Mus musculus: one gene and its partners. The protein of the gene in region 2 purifies or fractionates together with the protein of the main gene of each other region. This does not show direct contact. Links are inferred from orthologs where the notes say so. Each region holds a gene or a part of one and is shown on either strand. Other genes may lie near its edges.

Region 1 (3,653 bases), on a different chromosome or scaffold from region 2:
ACTGTTTTATCAAACATATGAACACTTATATTACAGACCACGCAATAACATTTCTTTCTCTCAGCCGCACGAGGCCTCCAGGTCAGAACCTCAGGCTCACTTAAACCTCCTTCCCACGGCGGGCAAGACAAGGGAAGGAAAGTGCAATTCCGAAAGTAACCCCGCAGACCCAGAGGGCAGCGCAAACTGGCAGAGGGTGGTAGGTTCTTCTTTGGCCCTTGGCCCTAGCAGTGCTTGTCCTCAACACGAAGCCTTGGAGAACAGTCGCTCTCAAGCAAGCTGAAGCCCTGCCCTGACATCTTGGCAGTGTTCCTCTTTCAATTCCGACCACCCATCCTGGAGTCCTGACTAGCTTATTGGAATTTCTTACAAGAAATCCAGTCCTGGTTTACTTCCTTCTCAACTGTCTATCTCCCTCTGAACCTCTAAACAACAAGCAACAAAACAGAGAGCACTAAGTTCCAAAAGGACTTCAGCTGAGTGAGACCTTCTACAGCAAAGTTCTGTCCTAGAAGCCTCTGGCCAAAGCCCGCAGAGCTGGGGCCGACAGAGGAACACAGGCCCAGCTGGACAGATTCCAGGCACCCAGGAAACTCCAGTCACTCTGCATCTGTAGACTTAAAGTGATCGTCGTCCACAGTAGAGTAAATGTGGCCCTCGTTGCACAGAAAATCCACTGCTTGCCTGAAAGGAAAAAAAAAGGGGGGGGGATCCCCACATTAAAACCAGCGCCTTTTGAACATAGCTAAATGAGCAAACATCACTTGTTTGTGTACTTCTCTTAGCTGTGAATTCCTCAGTCACTTTGTTCATGGAAGTCTCTCGTAGAGAAATGTCGATACAACCCAAGGGTTGAGGTTATCCATGCAGACCAGAGCTACCAGGGCTGCCTTGGATCCCGGACTCAAATTCCAAAATAAAACAAGGCTTCACTTAGATGCCAATCTAAGTTGACGTAAGATCCTGAAGCTACAGTCAGCTCGCACATGAGATGTGCACAGGGGTCTTACAGCTCCCTTCCCTGGATTCAGGCCCCAGAATCACACACTGAGATGCCGTTTGCTTTGCCTATGGGCAGTAGAGTGGCGGGAAGGGAAAGGTAAGCCAGAAAGAGACTCCTCCAAATCCTTAGGTCCTCAGAGACAGGAAGATGTCTAGTACGAGCCATTTACAGTGTAGCTACCTCAACACAATGACTTTGAGATGGGCGTTATCGACCACCATTTCACAGCATAAAATGGGGAACTGGCCTGGGCATTTACTCCATCTCGGCATATAGTTAGTAAATGGGTTTGCTTGTTTGAGACAGGGTCTTGGTCTCTATGTAGTCAGAGCTGTCCTGGAACTCGCTATGTAAACTCGGCTGGCCTTGAACACACACACACACACACACACACACACACACACACACACACACACACACACACCCATCTCAGTTCACTGCAATGGAATCAGGAGTCTGGAGTAAGAAGGGCTGCCTGATGCCTTCAGGTCCCAACAAATCAGTAAGCGGTGCAACAGCGCCACCTGTGAGTGCTTTTCTGTTTTCTTCCCAGCAGCTGACTCCTGTGTGAGTGAGTCTCAGGCAGCCCAGGTTGGCTCTGAACTCCCAATCCTCCTGCTTCTATCTTTCAAGTGCTGAGATGATAGATCCGGCTTCACCTTTTCCACTCCCCACCAGCAGAAGGTTGTGGACAGATCCAAGGCCACGGACAACAAGACTCACTTGATTGAGGGAACAGGCATATGCTGGAGCTGGCTCCTGAGGTCCTGGAAGTTCAGGCCTTCAGGTCTTGGGCAAGCCTTGATCAAATTCAGCACCTGACAGTTCAGAGTAAAAAGACTTTAGCAACCAACTACTCTGCATCAGCTTACTTACGATAAACAAAGAGGAGCTGGAAAGATGGCTCAGGAGACCCTGGGTTTCCACCCTCTCTATCCTCTACTGGTATCGGGCATTGTGGACATACACATATCCATCTGTACAAGCAGGCAAGCACACACAAGTTAAAAAGGAGGGGTGTTGGTGTGAAGCAGGCTGCAAGATAACCTCCCATCATTTGGGAAGAAACAAACTATCAGACTGCCCGTGCTCTGCAGGGTAAGCAGGCAGCTTACCTGGTTTTGGACCACAGTGAGGCCATTTGCTGGCATGAAGTTATTCCCGCTGAAGTTCCCCGGCTCACTCATTCCTGGGTTGCTCATCGATGGTCTCCCTGCAGAGGCCTGAATTAAGAACAAGATCAGAACATTAGAAAAGCCACCACATCAACCCTACTCCACCTAACTTACTAATAAACAGCAGCAAACAATTTAATCAGTTTCCCTAGTAACGACTGATATAGGAAAACTCTAACAATGAAACCTCGTAAGGAGCGTTAACTAACCCCGAGGCATGCATTCCCTGTCCCCGGAAAGGAGGCTCTGGCACTACGACTTCACATGCCAGCTACAGCGGCTTCCCTGGGCTCGCTCAAGTGAGCATTTATTATCGTGAAACCCTGTTGAGAGAGAAAAGGGCCCAGGCTTGCCTGTGAGTACAGATCCCTGGCAGAGGGCTTGCCCACTATGGATAAGACCGAGAAAGGCACAGATGCTTCACCCTCTTTTAGGTCACTCCTTCTCTGCCTACCACTAGCTGGATTATCTCAAATCCTCTGAATTGAGTTCTACCAACGTCTCTAGTCCCTGGCTGCTCCAGCCTTTTGGTCACCACAACATCTGACCTCTTAGCAGCAGACAATGCTGCCCACTGCTCCCCAGTGGCCCCTCCAGGCTTCTCTGGCTCCCACTCACTCCCACTGCACCTTCTCAGAAGCCTTCCTCTCTGCAGTGCTGATGAACAGGACATCCGCTAAGTCTTGTACCCACTGAACTGAATAACAGGGTCACACGGCCTGTGAGGTTTAACACAGTGCGACCACACAGAGGACAAACTCTATCCTATTAGGCCATCCAGTCAAACACCCATTAGATGTCTGTTGTTGAGATGTTTTTATGGCGTACAGGTTGGACGCAAAATGCTGTTTGGCTTTGAAACTTTTGGTCAGCTATCTTGGTATTGGGTGAGAAACAACTGGAAACTCTGAGAAACATGAGTGTTTCACTTAGACTAAAGGACAGTGGCGAAGCTCGGGGAGAAAATGTGCTGAGGACCACGTGATGGCTGAAGATGGCTCAGCAGTGGGAGCTCTTTGAGCTCTTCCTGAGTTTGGCTGCAGGTGGCACACAGCTTGTAGCCCTACCTGCAGGGGATCCCTCACACACCACACACAGACACGGAAATATGAATGTTAAGTTTGGTTTCCCAGAAAGGGAGGAGTCAGTTGCAGCTGCTCACCTGGCTGTTGGGCTTGCTGAGCATCATGTGTGAATTGACCACTTCCAGGATGTGTGCGGTGAACTCATTCATGTCTTCCAGAGGAATGATCTTAAAGGCCACCAAGCTCTTTTTGTTCTATTATAAGTAAGAGGAAAATATAAGTAAAAGGCAAACATATTCAAGTGACTTTCTGGGCAAAACGCCTGTTAGACTTAAAAATGTGAATATGAATGTGGGCACATGTACCACTGTATGCAAGGGAAGTCAAGAGGGTAGACTTGGTGTGTTGGTTCTCACTTCCTACCTCAAACAGGTTGTCTTTCTAGTATAT
Region 2 (3,653 bases):
CTTCTTCACAGGAGTACAAGTGATTTCAGGAACTACATCACCTGACGGCTTCTGCACAGAATCTTTATGGTTATCTAAATGTCCCATTTTTGAAGTCATCTGGATAAAATCATGATTCTTCCCATCTTGCTCTTGGATCACATCAAGTTCTTCCATATTTTTATCAAACTGTTGGGCCAATTTCATAAGTTCTTTTTCTCGATTTTTTGTTTTTAATCTATTAAAAAAACATTGAAACATTTTGATTAAAAAATTGTTTAATAACTACTAGATTACTGTTTAGTATAGTTTCGTGTGACGAAACACCAAAATTTTAACTCTCAGAATACTATGTTTTTAACTCACATATTGAAACAGAAACCCAAGACTATGAGCAAGAATGGAGCGCCTGCCTCACTGACTTTCAGGAGGAGGGTGAACTCACTTTGTGCAGCTGGCTTTCACTCTTGACTTCTCTTTTGCTACGCCAGGAGTACAAGGAATAGCAGTTTCACCAATCCATACTCCCAGCATGGAATTTGTCACTGGTTTCTCGTCCTTCGAAAGACGAAAAAAGAGAAGCATAAGAGCCTTATAAAACAAATAACCACCCCTCCCTCTCTCAGGAGAGAGAGAGAGATGAGACTAGAGGGGGAAATTCTGTTGTAAGCACTCAACAAACTCAAACAATGAGAAGCTGGAGAAAGGCATTATGTCAGAAGCTATGATCCATTTATATTCCCACAACTAAAAAGTAATATTCGAACTTAGGAATTCCATGTTTATAAAAACCAAGGTTTGAAGTACATTACCTATATCAAATACATTTTGATGTTACATACATATAATATTTGGTAGAAGGAAAAATAACATTTTAGTTGTAAGATGTTCACAAAACCAGAAACAAACTACATACAACTATCAGACCTGAAAATAAGAATATATTCAGAATTTTTTCTGCAGTAGTGATTCTCCAAGTTTTCTTATCCTCATAAAGTCTTAACTAAAACTTGGGAGCTCTACCTTGACTTAGACTGAGAGTCTAAGTAATGTCAAAACAGATTATAGAGATTTTACCGCAAGGTCAAAGCAAAAGCTAAGAATGGACAACTAGAAAAAAAGACAAAAGCAGAAAACTTCAAGTATGAAAAAAAAAATCAACTTATTTTTGCTGTATGTCTTTAGTTCCTTAATCACAAAGTTATAAAATGAGCTTTATATTATAAACCAGTTGTTCTCAACCTGTGGGTCATGACTCCTTTGGCAGCTCTCTATCTCCAAAAATGTTTGCATTATGATTCGTAACAGTAGCAAAATTAGCTATGAAGTAAGCAACAAAAATAATTTTGTTTGAGGATCACCACAACATGTGGAACTGTATTAGAGTCACAGCATTAGGAAGATTGAGAACCACTGACATAAACCAAACTAGCAAACCAAATTACTTAATCAATCTTATTTGTTTACAGTAGCTAGAAAGAATAGAAGTATAAAACATGATACAAAGTTAAAACTACGAGACTATAGGGTATTCTAATTTGGGTCTAGAGTGGGAGAAGGCTTCACTGACGTCCTCTGATCTTTACAAAGTATGTGCCTGCTTGCACGTATCCATGGAAACAGCATTTTTTTAAAAAAGGGTCATTTTACATTGCTTGAAGATTTGGGTGAAAAGATATTTAGTTTTATAAAATCATAAAACCAGTTAATTTCATTGGAAGACTCAATATTTTCTGAGTTGTTTGTATAACACTCTTAAGTAACATCCTTAATGACTTAATTTTGGAATCTGTCCAAATAAATTAAATTCATATAAAGTTTCAGAAAGTCATAACAATTTTACATAGCCTCTCAAGCATATATATCAAGAGTCCTCTGTATATTTATGAGCTACTTGTGCTTATTTTAAATTATGATTATTACATAATTTGCTGAACCCTAAGTACATTCTAGGTGCCATACAAGTTGTCTAAGCCTTCAATTGATCTTAGCGTTGTATAAAGTTATATAAATAAGGCAAATAAAGACCTTAAACATCACAGAAGAAATCACTACAGGAAATGAAATGAGTATCTAATACGCAAATGTATTTCTTAAAAACTGAAATCAGAAACCATTTGGAAGAAATTAAATGATTTGAAGATAACTAAGAAAAACACAAATATGAAGAGCATGACATTTTCTGAGAAATCTTAATGCTGCCAACAATTAACCTGTTTTAAGAATGTCCGGCAGAGGGGCTGGTGAGATGGCTCAGGGGGTAAGAGCACCCGACTGCTCTTCCAAAGGTCCCAAGTTCAAATCCCAGCAACCACATGGTGGCTCACAACCACCTGTAACAGAGATCTGATGCCCTCTTCTGGTGCGTCTGAAGACAGCTACAGTGTACTTACATATAATAAATAAATAAATCTTTAAAAAAAAAAAAAAAAAAAAAAAAAAAAAGAATGTCCGGCAGAATAGCTAGGTGGTGGTGGCGCTCACCTTTAATCCCAGCACTCGGGAGGCAGAGGCAGGCAGATTTCTGAGTTCCAGGACAGCCTGGTCTACAAAGTGAGTTCCAGGACAGCCAGGGCTACACAGAGAAACCCTGTCTCAAAAATACAAAAAGAATGTCGAGCAGAAGACACTGACTGTATAATCCTAGCACTGCTGTCTTTACGTGAGCTGCTCTTTCCAGCCCATTTAGTTATGGAGCCAACAGGACACTCAACTTTGTATCACTCATGTCAGGCTAGTCAGCCCAAACATGCTTAACTGTGCTTTGATGTAGTTAATAAAGACATATTGTTTTTTTGTTTTGTTTTGTTTTGTTTTTGTTTTTGGTTTTGGTTTTTTGAAACAGGGTTTCTCTGTGTAGTCCTGGAACTCACTCTGTAGACCAGGCTGGCCTCGAACTCAGAAATTCGCCTGCCTCTGCCTCCCAAGTGCTGGGATTAAAGGTGTGCGCCACCACGCCCGGCTCAAGACATATTGTTAGCACACAGTAATAATATAGCATATATGTACTTCAGCCATAAAGAGTAAATACAATGAATCCTACGGCATGACAACATGGGAAGCAGAGATACCAGCTACAAAGCTGTACTGACTACTGATTATATGTCTAGATTTCTATAGCCGGAGACAAGTTGTACCTATCTTCTCTTTTTGGATATGTTGATTCCTCATAATCACATTTTGAACCAGTGAGATCTGTGGGTCATTACTACAGGCCAATAATACACTATCCTAGGGCATATTAAGGGAAAATACAACAATTTCCTCAAAGACAACAGTAAACAAAACTTAGATATTCTTTGAATTTAAGTGTTGTTAATTAAGAAAAAGAGGGCTGGCAAAATGGCTCAGCATGCTATCAAGTCTTGTGACCTGAGCTCATTCCCTAGGACAACCATAAGCCAAAGAAGAGAACTGACTCTGGCAAGGTGACCTCTCCCACACACATGCTGTGGGCGTGGGCAGGCAAGCACATACATACATAAGTACATACAATGTATACTTAAAGATACATATACACACATACTTTTTAAAACGTAAAAAAAAATAAGTAAGAAAAAGACAGAAAAGAAACTCAGGACTAATAAAAGGAATCAGTTACTGGACTCTTTTGTGATAAATGATTGAAACTTCTTCACTCAAGGGGCACAAAAACTAAAGAAAAAAAAAACCTA
Region 3 (3,653 bases), on a different chromosome or scaffold from region 2:
CAGTTTGTTTGAAATGTTACTAGCTTTAAAGTTAGTTCATAACCCACTGTGAGTTGTTGTCCATACTTTAGAAAATATAACAGAAACTGAAAATGTGATTATAGTATAATTTAAGAACTTATGACAGAAGAAATACAGAACATCAATAATAAGAACATATAATTCAGCAGCAAAAAAAAGAAAACAAGTCCTAGGTGGCCAGGATGAGTCAGAAAACTTTTTTTTAAAGAATTATTTATTTTATGTATATGGGTACATTATAGCTGTCGTCAGACACACCAGAAGAGAGCATTGAATCCCATTACAGATGGTTGTGAGCCACCACGTGGTTGCTAGGAATTGAATTCAGGACCTCTGGAAGAGCAGTTAGTGCTCTTAACCACTAAGGCATCTCTCCATCCCCCAGAAAACACTTTTTGAAGGCTATATTATCAAAGCAGATACTATTAACAAATTTTAAAATATTTCATTATATAGGAAAAAGTTTGTTCTGCATCCTTTTATGAGAGAATCAGAAAGTGAGGAGCAGGCAGATTAATGGGGTAGTAACAATACAGTAAAAGTCTAGAAAAATGCTTTAACATACAGAAAGCAAATTTTTCTTAGAAGGCAATGTAGTTAAGTTTTGTTTTGTTTGGTTTTGGTTTTTTTTTTTTTTTTTTAAGATTTATTTATTATTATATGTAAGTACACTATAGCTGTCTTCAGACACACCAGAAGAGGGAGTCAGATCTTGTTAGGGATGTGGTTTTGGTTTTTAAAGAAAGTGTTTCCTCTGTGTAGCCCTGGCTGACTTGGAACTTGCTCTGTAGAACAGGTGGCCTCCAACTCAAAGATCCTCCTGCCTCTACTACTGAGCACTGGGATTAAATGCATGCATGACTACACCTGGTATAAGTATTTTTGAGTAGAATGTCTAAAAAAAAAAAAAAAAACCTTTGTAGTAATTTGAGATGATGTTCTAGTAAAACTGTCAAAATGAAAAAAAAAAAAGTAGCTGAAGCTGGGCATGCTGGCATATGTCTAATCCCAGCACTCAGGAGGCAGGCCAATCTCTGAGTTCCAGGCTAGCCTAGTCTACAAATGCATTCTATGCCAGCCAAAGGTACATACGAGACCCTGCCTCAAAAACAAAACTGCTACCACTTTTCCCCAAAAGCAAATATGACTTGTGGGAGCATGTAATTATATAAATGTGATATTCAGAAAAGCAGCAAAGGAGATCTAATAAAACTGGTTAAGGATTAACATAAAATAACAGCACTTACCAATACAACTGTCTTTGGCCTCATTTTGGCCCTGGCTTCCATTCACATTTACAAACATAAGCGGAGAAGACTTCATGATGTGCTGGATAAAATCAAGTAACATCACAGAGGTCGGCTGAGCGTCAGTTTTCTTTACAAGTTCTAGAGCAACTAAGAGATAAAAGATTCTTTTTAAAAACTCATGACAAAATATAGAGCTTTTGTTAAGAAACTAAATTTTGGTAATCAAAACTTTGTCCAGTGGAGTACTCATGCTACACTGATACATGAAGAAGTCCTATTATCTAGTATGTGTATGTGTATGGTATATGTCTATGTACATGTTCGTGTGTGTGTGTGTGTGTGTGTGTGTGTGATGAATGTGACAGTCAGAGGTCAATGTTGGGTGTCTGCTTCAATCATTCTCTACCTTATTTTTTGAGACAAGAGATCTCACTGAACCTACACTTCACCAACTTAGCTAGACTGGCTGGACCAGGTTTTTTTTTTTTTCTTTGTATAGCCCTGGCTGTCCTAGAACTCACTTTGTAGACCAGGCTGGCCTCGAACTCAGAAATCTGCCTGCCTCTGCCTCCCAAGTGCTGGGATTAAAGGCGTGGGCCACCATGCCCTGCTGACTGGCTGGACCAGGAAGCTCCACAGATCTACTGTGAGAATTGCAGCAATCACAGGTGTGCATTGCTGCAGCTGCTTTTTAAGATTGTGGTGGGAATTTAAAGGCAGCAAGATTAATGTCTGAGTCATCTTTCCAGCCTACCACTTAATTTTCAATGTCTAATAACCATATACATTCATCTATAATATAGCCCATTCTGCAAACATTTGTTATATAGGCCTGTAAGATGACAGGCACCATGCTTAAGATAAAACAAAACAAAAACAATAATCTGGTGAAGGAGTCAAAGAATTAAAAATAGTAGTTTGACTTGGTAATTCAGGATAAAATGAAACAATTCTGGAAAGATCCCATGAAGGAGTTCCTATGGCTGAGGGAAAAGGCAAGTGGTGAGAACAGAGGGAGACCCAGAGGGAACCATATCTTACAAGTGTTCATAGCCCTTTGCTCTCATTTTAGCAACCTATGACTTTGTAGACTGAAAAGAACAAAGTTTAAGTGGTTATAATAAATCACAAAATGTGTTGGTACCAAATTTCACTTTTTTTTTTTTTTTTTTTTGCAAGTTGTTGATAAAGCCCATATGATTGGACCCAGTCAAATGTTTTATAACTAATGCATTAAAGAATTCTAGGAAGCCAGTAGAAAAATCATGGAATAATAGAAACACACCCTTGATTTTAAAGCCTAAATTACATTATGTTTTAAGTAATAAGCAATACTGAGTAACAATTTGCTGGAAATTACTATCTATAACAAAAACTAACTCTGACTAAAACTGCCTAGAGGAAAAACAGGTAGTACAATGTTACACGGAAAACCATTGAAGTTCATGGAAGAAATAATTCCCTCTTACCAACATTTACATCTGTAAGTATTCTGTCAATGAACTGGCAGAGAATCTGTCTTGGTTTCTGTACAACAGTGTTATATTCTTCTGGAGTAGCACTGAAATACAAAGTAAAGCTTGTTAAAAGAGGCACTATGGGAGCAAGCAAGATGGCTTAGCAGGTAAAGGCAGGCTGCCAAGCCTGGCCTTAGTTCCATCCCCGGATGGATATAGTGGGAGGGGAGAAGTAACTCCCATGAGTCATCCTCCACATGGACTGTGATGTGTGTGACCCTCCCTCCCAATAAATAAATTAATGTAAAAATGTTTTATTAGAGGTATGGTGGCACATACCTATAATTGGAAGCTGAGGCAGAAGGCCAGTGATTCTAGGCCAGCATAAGCTATTTAGAGAGATTCTGTCTCTACAAACTAATCCAGCAAAGAGCATTTCATCTTTAAAAGGACCTACTTTTCAATTTGTACAAAAGCTCTCTAAACTTGAACCTAACAAATATGATTGGTTTAAATGTTAACATAGACAGTATTATACTTCTTAAAAGTGAAAATCTAAAGATATTACTAATTTGGGGCGGGGAAAGTCTTAAATGCCAGTGCAGACAGCTAACCTTCATATTTTAGAAATGTGCAGCTCAAAATGGCAGCCATTAGCCACATATGACTATTTAATACTTGAAAAGAAGGTTATTCCAAATTAAGATGTATATAAGATACATATTGGATTACTCATACTTGGACAAAAGAATTAATGTTGCATTAATCGTCTTATATGAGTTACATATGAGTGTGATAATATTTGGATATAATGAGCTAACACAAACCCTATAAAACAAGGTAAGATACTAAGCCTAATTTGGATCTGAGGATGCTCTGGAAGTTAAATCACTGGAGATCACACAGCTCAGATTAATGGAAGCCT

Evidence for each region.
Region 1: the proteins of Etaa1 (region 2) and Rpa2 purify together in Homo sapiens (affinity purification with western blotting; 4 studies listed by BioGRID, with this or other methods). This does not show direct contact. The link is inferred for Mus musculus from reciprocal best matches to the Homo sapiens genes ETAA1 and RPA2.
Region 3: the proteins of Etaa1 (region 2) and Atr purify together in Homo sapiens (affinity purification with western blotting; 3 studies listed by BioGRID, with this or other methods). This does not show direct contact. The link is inferred for Mus musculus from reciprocal best matches to the Homo sapiens genes ETAA1 and ATR.

What each region holds. Positions count from the first base shown.
Region 1 is NC_000070.6:132,774,821-132,778,473, reverse strand, and holds part of Rpa2 (replication protein A 32 kDa subunit), read right to left. Parts: intron 3,458-3,653; coding exon 3,341-3,457; intron 2,227-3,340; coding exon 2,119-2,226; intron 1,822-2,118; coding exon 1,727-1,821; intron 685-1,726; coding exon 600-684; 3' UTR 1-599. UniProt on the Homo sapiens protein: As part of the heterotrimeric replication protein A complex (RPA/RP-A), binds and stabilizes single-stranded DNA intermediates that form during DNA replication or upon DNA stress.
Region 2 is NC_000077.6:17,947,351-17,951,003, forward strand, and holds part of Etaa1 (ewing's tumor-associated antigen 1 homolog), read right to left. Parts: intron 538-3,653; coding exon 425-537; intron 218-424; coding exon 1-217. UniProt on the Homo sapiens protein: Replication stress response protein that accumulates at DNA damage sites and promotes replication fork progression and integrity.
Region 3 is NC_000075.6:95,860,548-95,864,200, reverse strand, and holds part of Atr (serine/threonine-protein kinase ATR), read right to left. Parts: intron 2,833-3,653; coding exon 2,741-2,832; intron 1,419-2,740; coding exon 1,269-1,418; intron 1-1,268. UniProt on the Homo sapiens protein: Serine/threonine protein kinase which activates checkpoint signaling upon genotoxic stresses such as ionizing radiation (IR), ultraviolet light (UV), or DNA replication stalling, thereby acting as a DNA damage sensor.